3 linked regions of the Saccharomyces cerevisiae S288C genome follow. The protein of the gene in region 2 interacts with the protein of the main gene of each other region in a biochemical or structural test. Each region holds a gene or a part of one and is shown on either strand. Other genes may lie near its edges.

What was found. Proteins that work in one complex are often made in the same cells at the same time.
Region 1: the proteins of PKC1 (region 2) and RHO1 form a complex in vitro, tested with the Saccharomyces cerevisiae proteins (4 studies listed by BioGRID).
Region 3: of the proteins of PKC1 (region 2) and PAH1, one has a biochemical effect on the other in vitro, tested with the Saccharomyces cerevisiae proteins (3 studies listed by BioGRID).

What each region holds. Positions count from the first base shown.
Region 1 is NC_001148.4:873,567-876,734, forward strand, and holds RHO1 (Rho family GTPase RHO1), read left to right. Parts: upstream 1-1,801; coding exon 1,802-2,431; downstream 2,432-3,168. Other genes in the region: MMS1 (Mms1p), read left to right, coding at 1-1,360; mitochondrial 37S ribosomal protein uS14m MRP2, read right to left, coding at 2,716-3,063. UniProt on the Saccharomyces cerevisiae protein: Acts as a central regulator in the cell wall integrity signaling pathway, which is regulated by the cell cycle and in response to various types of cell wall stress.
Region 2 is NC_001134.8:11,410-19,216, forward strand, and holds PKC1 (protein kinase C), read right to left. Parts: upstream 6,288-7,807; coding exon 2,832-6,287; downstream 1-2,831. Other genes in the region: putative Rab GTPase-binding protein SRO77, read right to left, coding at 1-2,470; SEA4 (Sea4p), read right to left, coding at 6,768-7,807. UniProt on the Saccharomyces cerevisiae protein: Required for cell growth and for the G2->M transition of the cell division cycle. Mediates a protein kinase cascade; it activates BCK1 which itself activates MKK1/MKK2.
Region 3 is NC_001145.3:589,303-594,546, reverse strand, and holds PAH1 (phosphatidate phosphatase PAH1), read left to right. Parts: upstream 1-1,918; coding exon 1,919-4,507; downstream 4,508-5,244. Other genes in the region: MME1 (Mme1p), read left to right, coding at 74-1,180; MSS11 (Mss11p), read left to right, coding at 4,997-5,244. UniProt on the Saccharomyces cerevisiae protein: Mg(2+)-dependent phosphatidate (PA) phosphatase which catalyzes the dephosphorylation of PA to yield diacylglycerol. Required for de novo lipid synthesis and formation of lipid droplets.

The sequences.
Region 1 (3,168 bases), on a different chromosome or scaffold from region 2:
TTTATATCTAGACAAAATAAATCGAATGCTGGTATTGAATCAGGACTTGAGGGAATGGGAGTGTATTAGACTATCAGATGGTAAGGCAGTTGGTTTAGATTCTCAACTTCTTAAGGATGATTCTGAAGAAATCCTAGAAATAAAGGAATTACCAATAGCAACAGAGGACAATCCTTTAGAAAAGAAAACTGTATTATTGATCTCTTTTACTAGCTCATTAAAACTAGTTTTATTAACTGCTGCAAAAAACAAAATTTCCAATCAAATAATAGATTCGTATAAACTTGACAATTCAAGACTCCTCAATCATTTGGTCATTACTCCCAGAGGTGAAATATTCTTTCTGGATTATAAAGTTATGGGCACCGATAACGAAATGTCCTTTAACAAGTTGAAAGTCACAAAACATTGCATTGACCAGGAGGAGAGAAATAATACGACTTTGCGGCTCACTTTGGAAACCCGGTTTACATTTAAGAGTTGGAGTACAGTTAAGACGTTTACTGTAGTAGGCGATAATATCATTGCTACCACAAATATGGGCGAAAAGCTCTACTTGATTAAGGATTTCTCTTCATCATCTGACGAATCGAGAAGGGTGTATCCCTTGGAAATGTATCCTGATTCAAAAGTTCAAAAGATAATACCATTAAATGAATGCTGCTTTGTTGTTGCCGCTTACTGTGGAAATAGGAACGATTTAGATTCAAGATTAATTTTTTACTCTTTACCCACCATCAAAGTTGGGCTTAATAACGAAACAGGCAGCCTACCAGATGAATATGGGAATGGGAGAGTCGACGACATATTCGAGGTTGACTTTCCTGAAGGATTTCAATTTGGCACTATGGCTTTGTATGATGTTTTACATGGTGAGAGGCACGTAAATCGTTACAGCGAAGGCATACGGTCGGAGAATGACGAAGCAGAGGTTGCCCTAAGGCAGCGTAGAAATTTACTACTCTTTTGGCGAAACCACTCTTCTACACCAAAACCTTCACTACGCCGAGCCGCCACTATAGTATATGAGGATCATGTATCATCCCGTTATTTTGAGGATATAAGTTCTATATTAGGAAGCACTGCAATGAGAACTAAAAGACTATCTCCCTATAATGCGGTAGCATTGGACAAGCCTATTCAAGATATTAGTTACGATCCCGCAGTACAAACTTTATATGTGCTAATGGCAGATCAAACAATTCACAAATTCGGCAAGGACAGGTTGCCTTGCCAGGACGAATACGAACCAAGATGGAATTCTGGCTATTTGGTTTCAAGAAGGTCAATAGTTAAATCTGACCTCATCTGTGAGGTTGGGTTATGGAACCTTAGCGATAACTGCAAGAACACAGTATAATTCCCTCATTTCCAATAACATTGTCGCTGATAAAATCGTGATTCTCGATCAATGTGCTACGCGTCGTGCAGCGTGACAAGGGGCTAAAAAAAGATACAAGAATTCTTGTTGTTTCCAATTTGCTTCGCCTCAGAAAAAAAAATAAACAGATTATACAATTTTTGTTTGATTTGTATTGGGTACTACATGTTTTAGTAGTTGATACAAATACTTCTTTATCCTAATCGTATATATTTATTTTACCAGCAGGAATTCGTCTTTAATATCGTTTCGACCATCGATCATTCCTCTGAGTATTGCAAAAACATTTTTGGAACAACCCAAACTTAAAGTTACAAAACTCAAAAAAGGAACAAAATTAATAAAACAAAAGAATCGCTGTTAGAGGTTTATTGTTGCACTAATAGAAAATCATAGAACTTTAAAAATTATACTAGAAAGATGTCACAACAAGTTGGTAACAGTATCAGAAGAAAGCTGGTAATCGTTGGTGATGGTGCCTGTGGTAAGACATGTTTATTAATCGTCTTTTCCAAGGGCCAATTTCCAGAAGTCTACGTACCAACTGTCTTTGAAAACTATGTAGCAGATGTTGAAGTTGATGGGCGTCGTGTAGAGCTAGCGCTATGGGATACCGCTGGTCAAGAAGATTATGATAGACTAAGACCATTGTCATACCCAGACTCCAATGTCGTATTAATTTGTTTCTCTATCGATCTTCCAGATTCTTTAGAGAATGTACAAGAAAAATGGATTGCCGAAGTATTACATTTCTGTCAAGGTGTGCCAATTATTCTTGTTGGTTGTAAAGTGGATTTGAGAAACGACCCACAAACCATTGAACAATTAAGACAAGAAGGTCAACAACCCGTTACATCACAGGAGGGACAATCTGTAGCAGACCAGATTGGCGCAACCGGATACTACGAATGTTCGGCCAAGACTGGTTATGGTGTCAGAGAAGTGTTTGAGGCCGCCACTAGAGCTTCATTGATGGGTAAATCTAAAACGAATGGTAAAGCTAAGAAGAACACTACTGAAAAGAAGAAGAAGAAGTGTGTCTTGTTATAGGAGTGTCTCGATCTCTCAGTCGTTAACTTAGTGGCAGATACTGCCCTTTTTCAATCCCATTCCTTTTCTCATTGTATGTACGTATGCCTTTTTTTGTTATTTTAGCTCTAACTATAGCTACTTGTTTTTCTCCCAGTATGTGTATAATCTTATTCTTCTCTACATATAAGTGTATTGCTCAGTAAGTATTATCATCTATTAAAGAAGAATAAAAATTATCATGTATTTATTTACAAGTGCGTATCCTATATATATATATATATATACTTTCGCGATAAAATTTTTTACCAAATACCCTTCTTAACACCTGGCAAATTACCCTTCAGAGCGTTTTCTCTAAATTGATACCTACACAACCTAAAATCACTTAGAACAAATCTTGCATGTCCAGAGTCCACGCACCTATTTTTGATCTGCGTAGATCTCATGTAGTTTGGCAATGCATTTAGTTTTAACTGAGCCTCCAACCTCAGTTTTGTTGGAAGGTTCATATTTCTAGCGATGAATTTCAAAGATTTAACAAGGATTTCATTCTCTTTAAATTGTTGTCTTTTGAAGTTATCCCTAAGTATGCGAGCATTGATAAACCCTGGTGGTAGCTTGGTTTTTATAGGAAATCTGAAATTACCCATCGGTTAATGTATATATTTGTCAGTTTACCTTTTCTTTCGTTTTTCCTTTCAATCCTCTTTATCGCAGTTTGGTTCTTAGTTTGAATATTCCTCTGTTTTCGCTCT
Region 2 (7,807 bases):
ATTGAGCGCTTAGAGGGACCGGGCAGCGTAGATTTTTGACTTCCTTAAGCTCAGGTACTGTCAAAACTTTAATATCTCCATTAATTAGCAAAACGATCATAATAGTTGAAAGCTTTCTTTCTCCTTTACCGTCAATAATGGGAATAAATGATAATCCACTAGTGGCAATTGGATACTTGAAAAGCGCATGAGTGTCCTTAGATTTACCTGGTGATACTAAACGAATGTCATTTGCGCCACTGATAGTAACAAATCCAGGTATTGCGATACCCTTGCTTAAACCCTGCATCTTTGATATAGTAGCAGAACAACTGTAGCCAGTATCTTTGGCAAAAGAATTTATTCCTAGAATTTTTCCTTGATTGTTGGTCTTTGTTGCATCAGTGAATTTAACCTCAAATCTTCCATTAGTTGCAGGCAGTATTTTGAAAGTCATCAATTCCCCGATATCCGTTCCACATAGCATCAAAATACTAGAGAACCCATCATCTCCATATTCCATGACGCAAAAGTGAACGGTTGAAACGTAAGAGCTACCAGCTTTAGAAATGACCCTAATATTTTCATTGAAGATTATAGCCGGGCCTCTTCTGTCCAATATTATTAAGGTTCCTTCAATGAAACCAACGGCAACGAACCCGATATTACTATTCATGATTGCGGACACCGCACCTTTTTTAGCATGTATTACCGTACTTGGTATAAAGCCTTGTTTAACGTTCGTAGGCCCTCTATCCGAAACATCAACTAAAATAGTTTTTGAATCATCCAATGAAAATCTGCTAAACTTCAATTGCAGTGCATCGCTTTTGGGAAGTTGTCCGTAAAACTTGTTTGTTTCGAATTTGAAAAGAATAACATCCCCAACCTCAGATGATACCGCCAATTCCAATGTTTCCGATGCAAAGGAGATATTTTTTATGGCCAGGTTAGTAGCTCTGTTAAGTACTTTAGCAGTATTCACTTCAAATACAGCGTTGTCAGTTACTTCACTGTGTGAAGCATCCCATATTCTGACTGAACCATTACTATGCCCAGTTAGTAAAGCAGATCTGGTCTCATGCCTTCTAATATTTCTGGTGGCAGGAATACCACCTTTTAAAAACGATTCACTTTGAGCGATTGTCATCATCCCCAGCCAAAGATTTTTTTGAACTGATTGCGCTATACAAGTAGTAACCGTTGGTCGAACCCATGCTAAGCTCCGAGGGAAAATGGAGGCCTTGGAACTAAAAGAGCCTGCTGGGTATATCAATGTTTCAAGTTCGCCATCTTCTAAAAGTAATAAAATGAGGTTTGTGTCATGGCATCCACCAAAATATGGAGAAGCCTTCGGCAAGGGTAGAAAATTTATTAGTGGAGCTTTGCCAATCAACGAAAATAGTTTTTGTTGAACCGGTTTAGCATAGTACTTGCTCATTGCGTCAAATGATGTCACAGAATACATTGGTGTGCCGCCTAAGTCAATCATGGTTATTTCCTGAGGTAAACAGGGATTTTCTGTAGCTTTTGTTGCAATCAACAACGATGTATACTCAGGATTACGCTGGCAAAGCCAGCTTACTTTAAAGATAGCGGGTGTTTCTGTAAAGGAACAGTCTTTCAAGGCAGGATTTGGAAAATTCACATGTGTTTCAAATATACTTCTAGCGTGAATCAGTTTACCGCTATTGACATCCCAAAATACCAAGGAATTATCTTCATGGACAGTTAATATATGTAAGGAATTTGGGTGATAAAGTGACTGAATGACCTTTGGAGTGCGTTTCTTTTCTATGTTTGTGGATAGATCACCGCCCGGAGCATACGGTTCTAATTGGTAAAAAAAATGTTGCTTGACTTTGTAGTCAATGAAAGAATATATGACTGTAATATGCTCATATGATATAAGTATCGTTCCTATGTCTCTAGGATTCCATTGGATAGAAATAACCGGTGATAGCCTCTCTTTTGGCAAAAACACACTTTTCTGGAAGTTTTCAATTTTCAATTTGGACATTTGATTTCTATCCACATCATAGATCAATATGGATCCACTCTCGAGGCCAATCAGCATCCAATCCAAGGACGGATCAGTCTCAATACAAGTGATGCTGTTTGGACAGAAAACAGTAGTTAGAATCTGTTTCGAGTGTACTGAAAGAACTATTATGTTGCTCTTCTCATCTACAGCTATCAGATAAATTCCTTTAATAAACCGCATGTGTTTAATTTGAGGTCGATTTTTTAACGTAAATACGACCTCTATTTGCTTTTGCCCATAAACATGTATCTCCCCAGCAGTAGTTGCAACTGCCAAAAGGCTTTGAGTATAGTCGAATGTGGTAACAGTGATTCGTCCATTTATGCCGTATGTGCATATTTTCTTAGTATCGAAAAATTTGGAGTTAATACCATTTGAGACGTCATGAACTCTCGCGGATTTGATAGCATTTGACACATTCTTCAAATGCCTGCTTTTCTTAAACATTTATAAAATTTTTGTATCTGTTCAATTGACAATTTTGTAACTTTTATAATCTGTCAACTTTAGAAATATGTTAGTAGTAATATAATACTGAGCTGTTTCTTAAATGCTTCCTTAATAATGTAAACAGAATGCGCATTGTTGAACATACGGCTTCGCATCGCATCGCTTAAACGAGGTTTTTCATATGCATGCTCCAAGATAGGTACGAACAAAAAAGAGGCATTGCATCAAAATGGATAGTTTCAGTTTATGTAACAAAATCTCATTAAAAAAACCCTCTCCTCCTATGAAGCGGAACAGTTCAACTTTTCCGCTTAGATGTTTTATATAAAATTAAATAAATCATGGCATGACCTTTTCTTCATAAATCCAAATCATCTGGCATAAAGGAAAATCCTCTAAACTCTTCTTGCTGGCTCGTTGTCAAAACAGAGGGCAGAGGTGTAAGTGTGGGTGGCGCAGAGGTGAATTCTTGCTCGAAATATGATGTATCTTCCGGAGATTTAATTTCTGGGATGTAGGGTGGTTTCACGCGAAGGTTTAAGATATCGTCAAAGTTGATGTTACGGAAGAAAGGTTCTTCCATAACTTCGTCTGCGTCCCTGGGACCAGCACCCAACCTCTTTTCAGGATCTTTTGTTAATAGGCCTTGGAATATTTGTACAATCTCACCTGCCATATCTATTGGGTATAAGGGTTCATCGGTAAGGATAGCGTTAAAAACTTCATCTTCGTCATCTCCTGAGAATGGAGATTGGCACAGTAGCATTTGATATAGCAGCACCCCAAATGCCCACCAATCGACAGCTTTGGTATATTCTTGCTCTTTTAAAATTTCTGGAGCCATAAATTCTGGTGTGCCACAAAATGTAGAAGTTCTATTACCATACCACATTTCATCTTTACACAAACCATAATCGGCAATTTTTATATGACCTTCTGGAGTTAATAGAATGTTTTCCAACTTCAAATCACGGTATATTACACCATTATCATGAAAATATTTCAGAGCCAGTAAGACCTCGGCGGCATAAAATTTGGCCCTTCTTACAGATAGTCTTTGGTTTTGAACATGCCACATTAAGTCACCGCCCCCAATAAACTCCATAGCAAAATATATACGGTTTTCAGTTTGAAAAGAGCAGTATAGATTGGTTAAGAATGGGTGTTTAGTTTTTGTGGCTAACAAAAATACTTTCTTTTCTGCTCTTGCACTCTCGATGTCATGATTTTGAATAATATTATCTTTCTTCAGAACTTTTATGGCACAAAGCCTGTCAGTATTCTTTGATTTAGATAAAATAACTTTACCAAAATTACCTTTACCAAGAACTTTGAGTAATACGAAATTATCTAATGAAACCTTACGACGTTTAGCCGCTCTCTTTTTATGCTTTGCGCTTGTGCTGGTTTGTGATTTCTGCGGAGATTGTTGATCAGTGGTTCTGGAGGCATGAGTACTTGTAGGAGCCAAGGACACTGTTTCTTGTAGTACTTCCTTTGAAGCATGGTCTTGTTCAATTTGAAAGGTTTCACTATTCATATCGCGGAATGGATTTGTGTGTGTGGAATCTATTGTCAAATCAGCTTCACGGAAATCATTTTTGTTCTCCCAGTCTAGTTTCTGTTTGGTCTCTAAATCAATGTGATCAACTTCTAGATCCTCTTGGATTTCCCCACTATCTTGTTTTATTTCAAGTTCCATTTCCTCACGTTGTGCTTTCCACAGTTCAAGTTCATCTCTCATTAAATCATCTTTAGATTCCCAAGTTTGACTATGCTCAATAGATAAATCAGTGAGTCCCAAGGAACGTCTATTCGACGTTGGATCCAGTGTTTTCTCTGGTGATGAAAATTCGGCGGTTTGTTGTGCACCTTCTGTAAAATTTAAATAGGCCTCATTTTCATCGATAAATTTATTTAGTTTCTCACGCCCGTGCGTTTGTAGTGAAATTCTTTTATCAATAATAGGATCATGCTGCTTAGTTGGAGAATCTCTTCCTACCTTCTGAGGCGAAGGAGTTTTATCATGTTTTCTTGGCTGAGGAGGCAAAGGAGCGTTTGCCCTTTCAGCTAATTTGGATGGGGAAAGATCACTACCATTGGCAGTACCAATAGATGACCCCAACTGTGCCGACGGAACTGTCCTCTTCTTTTTCTCTTGATTACGTTTTGTGTCTTGAATCGTTTTCAGAATTTTATTAGCCATTTCCATCGACATGCCACAGAAATCGGGAACCAAATGAGCACATTGAGCATGACACATTATACCACATTCAGAACATTTGCGTACTTTATGTCTACCCCATGGTAAAATATAACCACAGTGACAGCACCATTTAGTACCACGGTTTGAAGTAGGCAGGAATCTATGAGGAATACGGTGGTTCAACTTTGCCTCGTCCGGATCCGTATCAGTAGAAGTTTTAGCAATACACTTAGTAACAACATTGGTGTAACATTTTTTGTGACATAAAAATTTACAATCTTGACATTGGAACCCAGTATACCGAAGGAAATCACCACAATATGCACAGCACATAATGTTGTAAAATGATTTTTGTACAAAGTGGTGGCCATGCTGTTCGAATATCTCTTCTTTCCTATTGATAATAGCACCATGACGATGTAGTCCACCCATCAACTGCTTCCTTTCTATTTGAGAAGACTTGTGGAATCCTAGTGTTAACAAAATCTGCCCGGATGGTTCTAAGACAAACCATGAATTCGTACTGATTTGACTAGTTGATGTATTTTCGCCTTGCACATTCTTTGCTGAAGTAGACTGAATGGCTGAGTTTGAGTATGTAGAAGTCAATGTGCTTCCCTCTTCGCTAGCGAGAGAAGAACCACCATTAATGTTTGAAGCGTTGACCCATCCTTGTTGTTCATTTGTTTGTCCGGCTTTCTTCTTACGAATTTCTTCAGCGATATCGGAAAGCAGTAACCACATTATAGCCACTGGAATGAGCGAGTCGTTCACCTTATCATATACAGTAATCTCGATTTCATTCCCTTTTTCAACTGGAATTTGAAAATCTTCACTCCACCTGTCATTTCTAGAAGGCTTCGTTCTGGCTTTGATCGTATCATCGATTTTTATAGTAACGTAGCTCTCTGGCTTCCTGGCAAACATCGGTGATTGTATATGGTCAACATCTCTAGCAGCAGTTATTCCAATTGTTAGAACGCCAGTCAGTTGTTTTCTTCGGAATTTCGGTTGTTGATTATCCATTATGTCATTGGGTTGGTGTTTAAATTGATCAAAGTCAACGTTAATAGCTTGGTATTTCTTCAAAGCTTTGTTAAGCATTTGAATCCTGTATTTGGATTCCATAGCACCCCCTTCTGCCGCAGAACTACTACGTTGATCACCGTCAATTTGATACAATTTAGTCAATTTAGTATTGGCTTCTTGGTATTGCTTTTCCACCTGTAATTTGAATTCTAATTGTTGCAACATGTATTGGATTCTTTGCGCCAAAGAAGGGCAATCATATTTTACTAAATCCAAACGAGAAAATATGTGTTCATTTGGCGATTTGGTAGAAAGAAACCCGTATTCCTTCGAATTGCATCGCTCATTATCTTCGCTGCCATTTTCACCCTGACTTTGTTGAGCGGTCTTCAACCGTAATTTTTTTAAGCTATCCTCCAAGTACTCAAGATTTTGACGTGCCTCTCTAATATTCGTATTACATTTCTGAATGACCATAACATTGCTAGTCTTTTTCTTGAGGGCAGAAGCTCCCCGAATAATATTTTCTTCGACGGCTATCTTTTTTTTAATGTTCTGCTCCAATTGTGAAAAACTCATGACTGTAAACTGCTCCCTATATGTGTGATACTATACTTACTTTTCCTCGCTAGAGCTTCTCTCCGCAGCTACTGTTCTAGGTTTTATTCCTATTGATTATCTAATATAGTTTTAAAAATCTATACTGAAAGGGGATCGACGCTGAATACCTCTAACGTAAGTGTGGACGAGTGGTGGCAGAGACTTTTACAATGGTTAATAATCAGTCTCTACTCAGCCAAATTGAATAGCAGTGAAATCGTAGCTCTTTTACTGCTCCTGAACCTGTCGTATTACTTTCGATAGAGTAGATCAACTTTATTATCCACGCTTGTTAACTCTTTTCGTCGGTTTTTTTCGCCTTTAAAACTAGGCGGGCTGGGTAATGAAGATAGCAATGCCTCATAAATACAATGTTATACTAATTACGTTTTTTCTTTGGTTATGTATATATATTGTGAGAATAAAGAGAAGTTGCAAGATTTGGTTTATTGTACAATACTACTTATTACACTGGCAGGTGCAACCTGGAGTGGGACAAACATTATGTCTGTCAAACCATTCTTCAGCGTGACCGGCATGCATACCATGGTTGCAACTCAAACAGAAGCTGAACCACTCGTTCAACTTCAGTTTTCTACTTACGAGTTCGCGATTTGCACCATCTTGAGAGTCTTCTGTCTGCATTGGATCGCGTGATTGCGTCCCATTTATTACAAAAGGTAAGTTTGACGTTCCTAGAGGCATGAGACATATGGCACATCTTGGAAATGAAGACCCACAGTGTGGGCAACAATACTTATGTCTTGGCTTTTCATCAGCTGCTTGTGCTTCAGAACTTCCAGTATTAAATTTCTTGTAGTCAGCGTTATTTCTTCTATAGGCTTCACCATTTTTGTAATTTCCAGCACTAGTAGAGACGGCGCTAGAAGGTGAGGATGTGCGCGGAGTGTTGATGTTTTGTTTACAGTTTTGACATTGGATATATATTTGCCGGGGCTTTATGTCTGCAGTTAATACACCAGTTTTAGTTCTCGATAATTTTGATCTTAAAACATCGAACCTGGCTCGCATGGAGAATAATTCCCACGATTTAAGCATATCTCTATAAGTTTGTATCCATTCATCTACTCGTTGGTCGCGGAAATATCTAGGGGAGCCGAAAATTGATATCAGTGCGGCACTCTGAACATCGCTGGTTTTATTAACGTATGATTGCAGTAGATCGATACCATTAGGTGTTATTCCGGTGAGAATTAAACCTTCTAATTCGCCGTTTTCAATAACTGTAGATGAAGTTCTATCTAAGAAAGTGGTTAGGTCTGTATCATTCAAAAACCTTAGAGCTACCCCTAATCGTTCTCTCAAAGATATGGCAGGTTCATAAAGAATATCCCACCAATCATTGTCTGCGATAAAGGCGAAAATAACTCTCAAGTAAGGATCATCTAATTCGGAGGACATTTTTCTGCATTGCTGCCTCCATGCATTGTTACCTGGCAGATCCTTATACGCCAAGTAACCTGCAATAGCGGTGGCAA
Region 3 (5,244 bases), on a different chromosome or scaffold from region 2:
GAAAACAAACGCTGAGTATTCTAACGAAGCACGCATAATAATCTTCACTTCCAACCGACTGGTATAAAAGATAATGAACTCATGGAACCTGAGTTCTTCAATACCGATAATACATACGCCTCATGACCATCCCCCGACATCAGAAGGAACTCCAGATCAACCAAATAATAACCGAAAAGATGATAAACTGCACAAAAAAAGAGGCGATTCAGATGAGGACTTAAGCCCTATATGGCATTGTGTCGTCTCCGGTGGGATTGGTGGAAAAATAGGAGATTCTGCGATGCATTCATTGGATACTGTTAAGACAAGACAACAGGGCGCACCCAATGTCAAAAAATACAGGAACATGATCTCTGCATATCGTACCATTTGGCTAGAAGAAGGCGTGAGAAGGGGGCTATACGGCGGTTACATGGCTGCCATGTTAGGCTCCTTCCCGTCAGCGGCAATCTTCTTTGGGACCTATGAATATACTAAGAGAACAATGATAGAAGATTGGCAGATTAACGATACCATCACACATTTGAGCGCTGGATTTCTTGGCGATTTTATCTCCAGTTTTGTTTATGTTCCATCAGAGGTCCTAAAGACAAGGCTACAATTGCAAGGAAGGTTCAATAATCCTTTCTTTCAATCTGGCTATAATTATTCGAATTTAAGAAATGCCATAAAGACAGTTATAAAAGAAGAAGGGTTTCGCTCACTATTTTTTGGATACAAAGCCACTTTAGCCAGAGATTTGCCATTTAGTGCATTGCAGTTTGCCTTCTACGAAAAGTTTAGGCAATTGGCTTTCAAGATTGAACAGAAAGATGGTAGGGATGGTGAGTTGTCTATACCTAATGAAATATTGACTGGTGCCTGTGCAGGTGGACTGGCGGGAATCATTACCACACCAATGGATGTTGTTAAGACTAGAGTCCAAACTCAACAGCCGCCCAGCCAAAGCAACAAATCATACTCAGTAACACATCCACATGTAACAAACGGCAGACCGGCAGCACTTTCCAACTCGATTTCGCTCAGCCTTCGGACGGTCTACCAATCTGAAGGTGTGTTAGGTTTCTTTAGTGGCGTTGGCCCTAGATTCGTCTGGACAAGTGTTCAGAGCAGTATAATGTTGCTTCTGTATCAAATGACCCTACGCGGATTAAGTAACGCATTTCCAACGGACTAAGAGCCTGATTTCTGGCTCATCTAACTCTCTAGAGGATAATTTTATGTGATAAAACTTTTCCTACAAGCGGCTACAATAAAGACAGTACAAGGGACCTCACCCTATTCGCCATCACTGCACATCACAGTGGGTCTTGTACTTATCATTTCACATACATAGATATAGGTTCTTCCGAATAAGTTTTGTATATAGTCATTTACGGCAAGAATACTCATCTAAGTTTAATACGCATTTCTCTCTTCGTTCGCAGTTCCTAACACTGAGCGTTCTTGTTTGGAGGGCTCGTTTAAAAAAAAGTCTAACAAATGTGACAGATTTGCTTGAACAGGGTCCAAACTCATCTTGTATATCATAACACTACATCACTGGGAGACAAAATCGAAGTGCCCACGTGCTGCTCATTCTCTAAACGGTCTGTCGCGGGCCCTTTTCGTCCTTCGGTTTCCCTCCCTTTAGACAATGGGCTCTCTTTTCTCTATTATCTATCTCTTTTTCTCGGCTTTTCCGGCCAGCGTTGAAAGCAGCGCACGGTGAGGGTAGAAGGAAGAGCAAGGACAAGTGAAGAGTAGGCCATCGTGGGGGCTTGTGTTTATAAAGAAAATACATTCAACAATTTAGTAAAACGTGTTCAAGAAGTGTTAATCAGACCAATTGGACACTACACCTTCGTAATCACAGTTTTACCTTCTAAGAAACATACAGGGAAGAAATTACTGAAGATAGACACATCGGTCGATTATGCAGTACGTAGGCAGAGCTCTTGGGTCTGTGTCTAAAACATGGTCTTCTATCAATCCGGCTACGCTATCAGGTGCTATAGATGTCATTGTAGTGGAGCATCCAGACGGAAGGCTATCATGTTCTCCCTTTCATGTGAGGTTCGGCAAATTTCAAATTCTAAAGCCATCTCAAAAGAAAGTCCAAGTGTTTATAAATGAGAAACTGAGTAATATGCCAATGAAACTGAGTGATTCTGGAGAAGCCTATTTCGTTTTCGAGATGGGTGACCAGGTCACTGATGTCCCTGACGAATTGCTTGTGTCGCCCGTGATGAGCGCCACATCAAGCCCCCCTCAATCACCTGAAACATCCATCTTAGAAGGAGGAACCGAGGGTGAAGGTGAAGGTGAAAATGAAAATAAGAAGAAGGAAAAGAAAGTGCTAGAGGAACCAGATTTTTTAGATATCAATGACACTGGAGATTCAGGCAGTAAAAATAGTGAAACTACAGGGTCGCTTTCTCCTACTGAATCCTCTACAACGACACCACCAGATTCAGTTGAAGAGAGGAAGCTTGTTGAGCAGCGTACAAAGAACTTTCAGCAAAAACTAAACAAAAAACTCACTGAAATCCATATACCCAGTAAACTTGATAACAATGGCGACTTACTACTAGACACTGAAGGTTACAAGCCAAACAAGAATATGATGCATGACACAGACATACAACTGAAGCAGTTGTTAAAGGACGAATTCGGTAATGATTCAGATATTTCCAGTTTTATCAAGGAGGACAAAAATGGCAACATCAAGATCGTAAATCCTTACGAGCACCTTACTGATTTATCTCCTCCAGGTACGCCTCCAACAATGGCCACAAGCGGATCAGTTTTAGGCTTAGATGCAATGGAATCAGGAAGTACTTTGAATTCGTTATCTTCTTCACCTTCTGGTTCCGATACTGAGGACGAAACATCATTTAGCAAAGAACAAAGCAGTAAAAGTGAAAAAACTAGCAAGAAAGGAACAGCAGGGAGCGGTGAGACCGAGAAAAGATACATACGAACGATAAGATTGACTAATGACCAGTTAAAGTGCCTAAATTTAACTTATGGTGAAAATGATCTGAAATTTTCCGTAGATCACGGAAAAGCTATTGTTACGTCAAAATTATTCGTTTGGAGGTGGGATGTTCCAATTGTTATCAGTGATATTGATGGCACCATCACAAAATCGGACGCTTTAGGCCATGTTCTGGCAATGATAGGAAAAGACTGGACGCACTTGGGTGTAGCCAAGTTATTTAGCGAGATCTCCAGGAATGGCTATAATATACTCTATCTAACTGCAAGAAGTGCTGGACAAGCTGATTCCACGAGGAGTTATTTGCGATCAATTGAACAGAATGGCAGCAAACTACCAAATGGGCCTGTGATTTTATCACCCGATAGAACGATGGCTGCGTTAAGGCGGGAAGTAATACTAAAAAAACCTGAAGTCTTTAAAATCGCGTGTCTAAACGACATAAGATCCTTGTATTTTGAAGACAGTGATAACGAAGTGGATACAGAGGAAAAATCAACACCATTTTTTGCCGGCTTTGGTAATAGGATTACTGATGCTTTATCTTACAGAACTGTGGGGATACCTAGTTCAAGAATTTTCACAATAAATACAGAGGGTGAGGTTCATATGGAATTATTGGAGTTAGCAGGTTACAGAAGCTCCTATATTCATATCAATGAGCTTGTCGATCATTTCTTTCCACCAGTCAGCCTTGATAGTGTCGATCTAAGAACTAATACTTCCATGGTTCCTGGCTCCCCCCCTAATAGAACGTTGGATAACTTTGACTCAGAAATTACTTCAGGTCGCAAAACGCTATTTAGAGGCAATCAGGAAGAGAAATTCACAGACGTAAATTTTTGGAGAGACCCGTTAGTCGACATCGACAACTTATCGGATATTAGCAATGATGATTCTGATAACATCGATGAAGATACTGACGTATCACAACAAAGCAACATTAGTAGAAATAGGGCAAATTCAGTCAAAACCGCCAAGGTCACTAAAGCCCCGCAAAGAAATGTGAGCGGCAGCACAAATAACAACGAAGTTTTAGCCGCTTCGTCTGATGTAGAAAATGCGTCTGACCTGGTGAGTTCCCATAGTAGCTCAGGATCCACGCCCAATAAATCTACAATGTCCAAAGGGGACATTGGAAAACAAATATATTTGGAGCTAGGTTCTCCACTTGCATCGCCAAAACTAAGATATTTAGACGATATGGATGATGAAGACTCCAATTACAATAGAACTAAATCAAGGAGAGCATCTTCTGCAGCCGCGACTAGTATCGATAAAGAGTTCAAAAAGCTCTCTGTGTCAAAGGCCGGCGCTCCAACAAGAATTGTTTCAAAGATCAACGTTTCAAATGACGTACATTCACTTGGGAATTCAGATACCGAATCACGAAGGGAGCAAAGTGTTAATGAAACAGGGCGCAATCAGCTACCCCACAACTCAATGGACGATAAAGATTTGGATTCAAGAGTAAGCGATGAATTCGATGACGATGAATTCGACGAAGATGAATTCGAAGATTAAAGATTCTTGTAGCCGAATATTATTTATAACGATCCATACTGCATATTAAGTAAAATTATGAAGTACTAAGTAACAATTTTTCAATTTTATTTAAGAAAAGAGAAGGAAAAAAAAAAGAAGAAAATTTTTTGATAGAAGAAAAAGGTAAACGATGATTGTTACGTACCAAGTGTTCTTCTGAGCTATTTGGTAATTACATACTTCTTCGAAATGTCAAGGTAAATACTTTTCTATACGCACACGAAACTCGCTTGCTGCAACAGGTATTACGTCAGGTGAAAAAAGCGGCCAAGAGGCAATGCCGAAATACAATGCGTGTATAACAGGAAGAGGAGGGGTATAATAAAATCACCATAGTAGAAAAGACCAGAAAGATTTCTATTGCAATCCTGTGTGACTCTTTTGGTTTTTCCCTTTGGTATCTCCCGGTTCTTTTGTCAATTTTTCGTTAAACTGCAGTGAAATAAGAAAAAGGTGCATGATAAAGATATGGATAACACGACCAATATTAATACAAATGAGCGCTCTAGTAACACGGATTTTAGCTCAGCTCCCAATATCAAAGGTTTGAATAGCCATACTCAGTTGCAGTTTGATGCGGATTCTCGAGTTTTCGTTTCGGATGTAATGGCTAAGAACTCTAAGCAATTATTGTACGCCCATATTTATAACTATTTAATCAAAAACAATTACTGGAACTCTGCCGCAAAATTTTTAAGCGAAGCTGACCTTCCTTT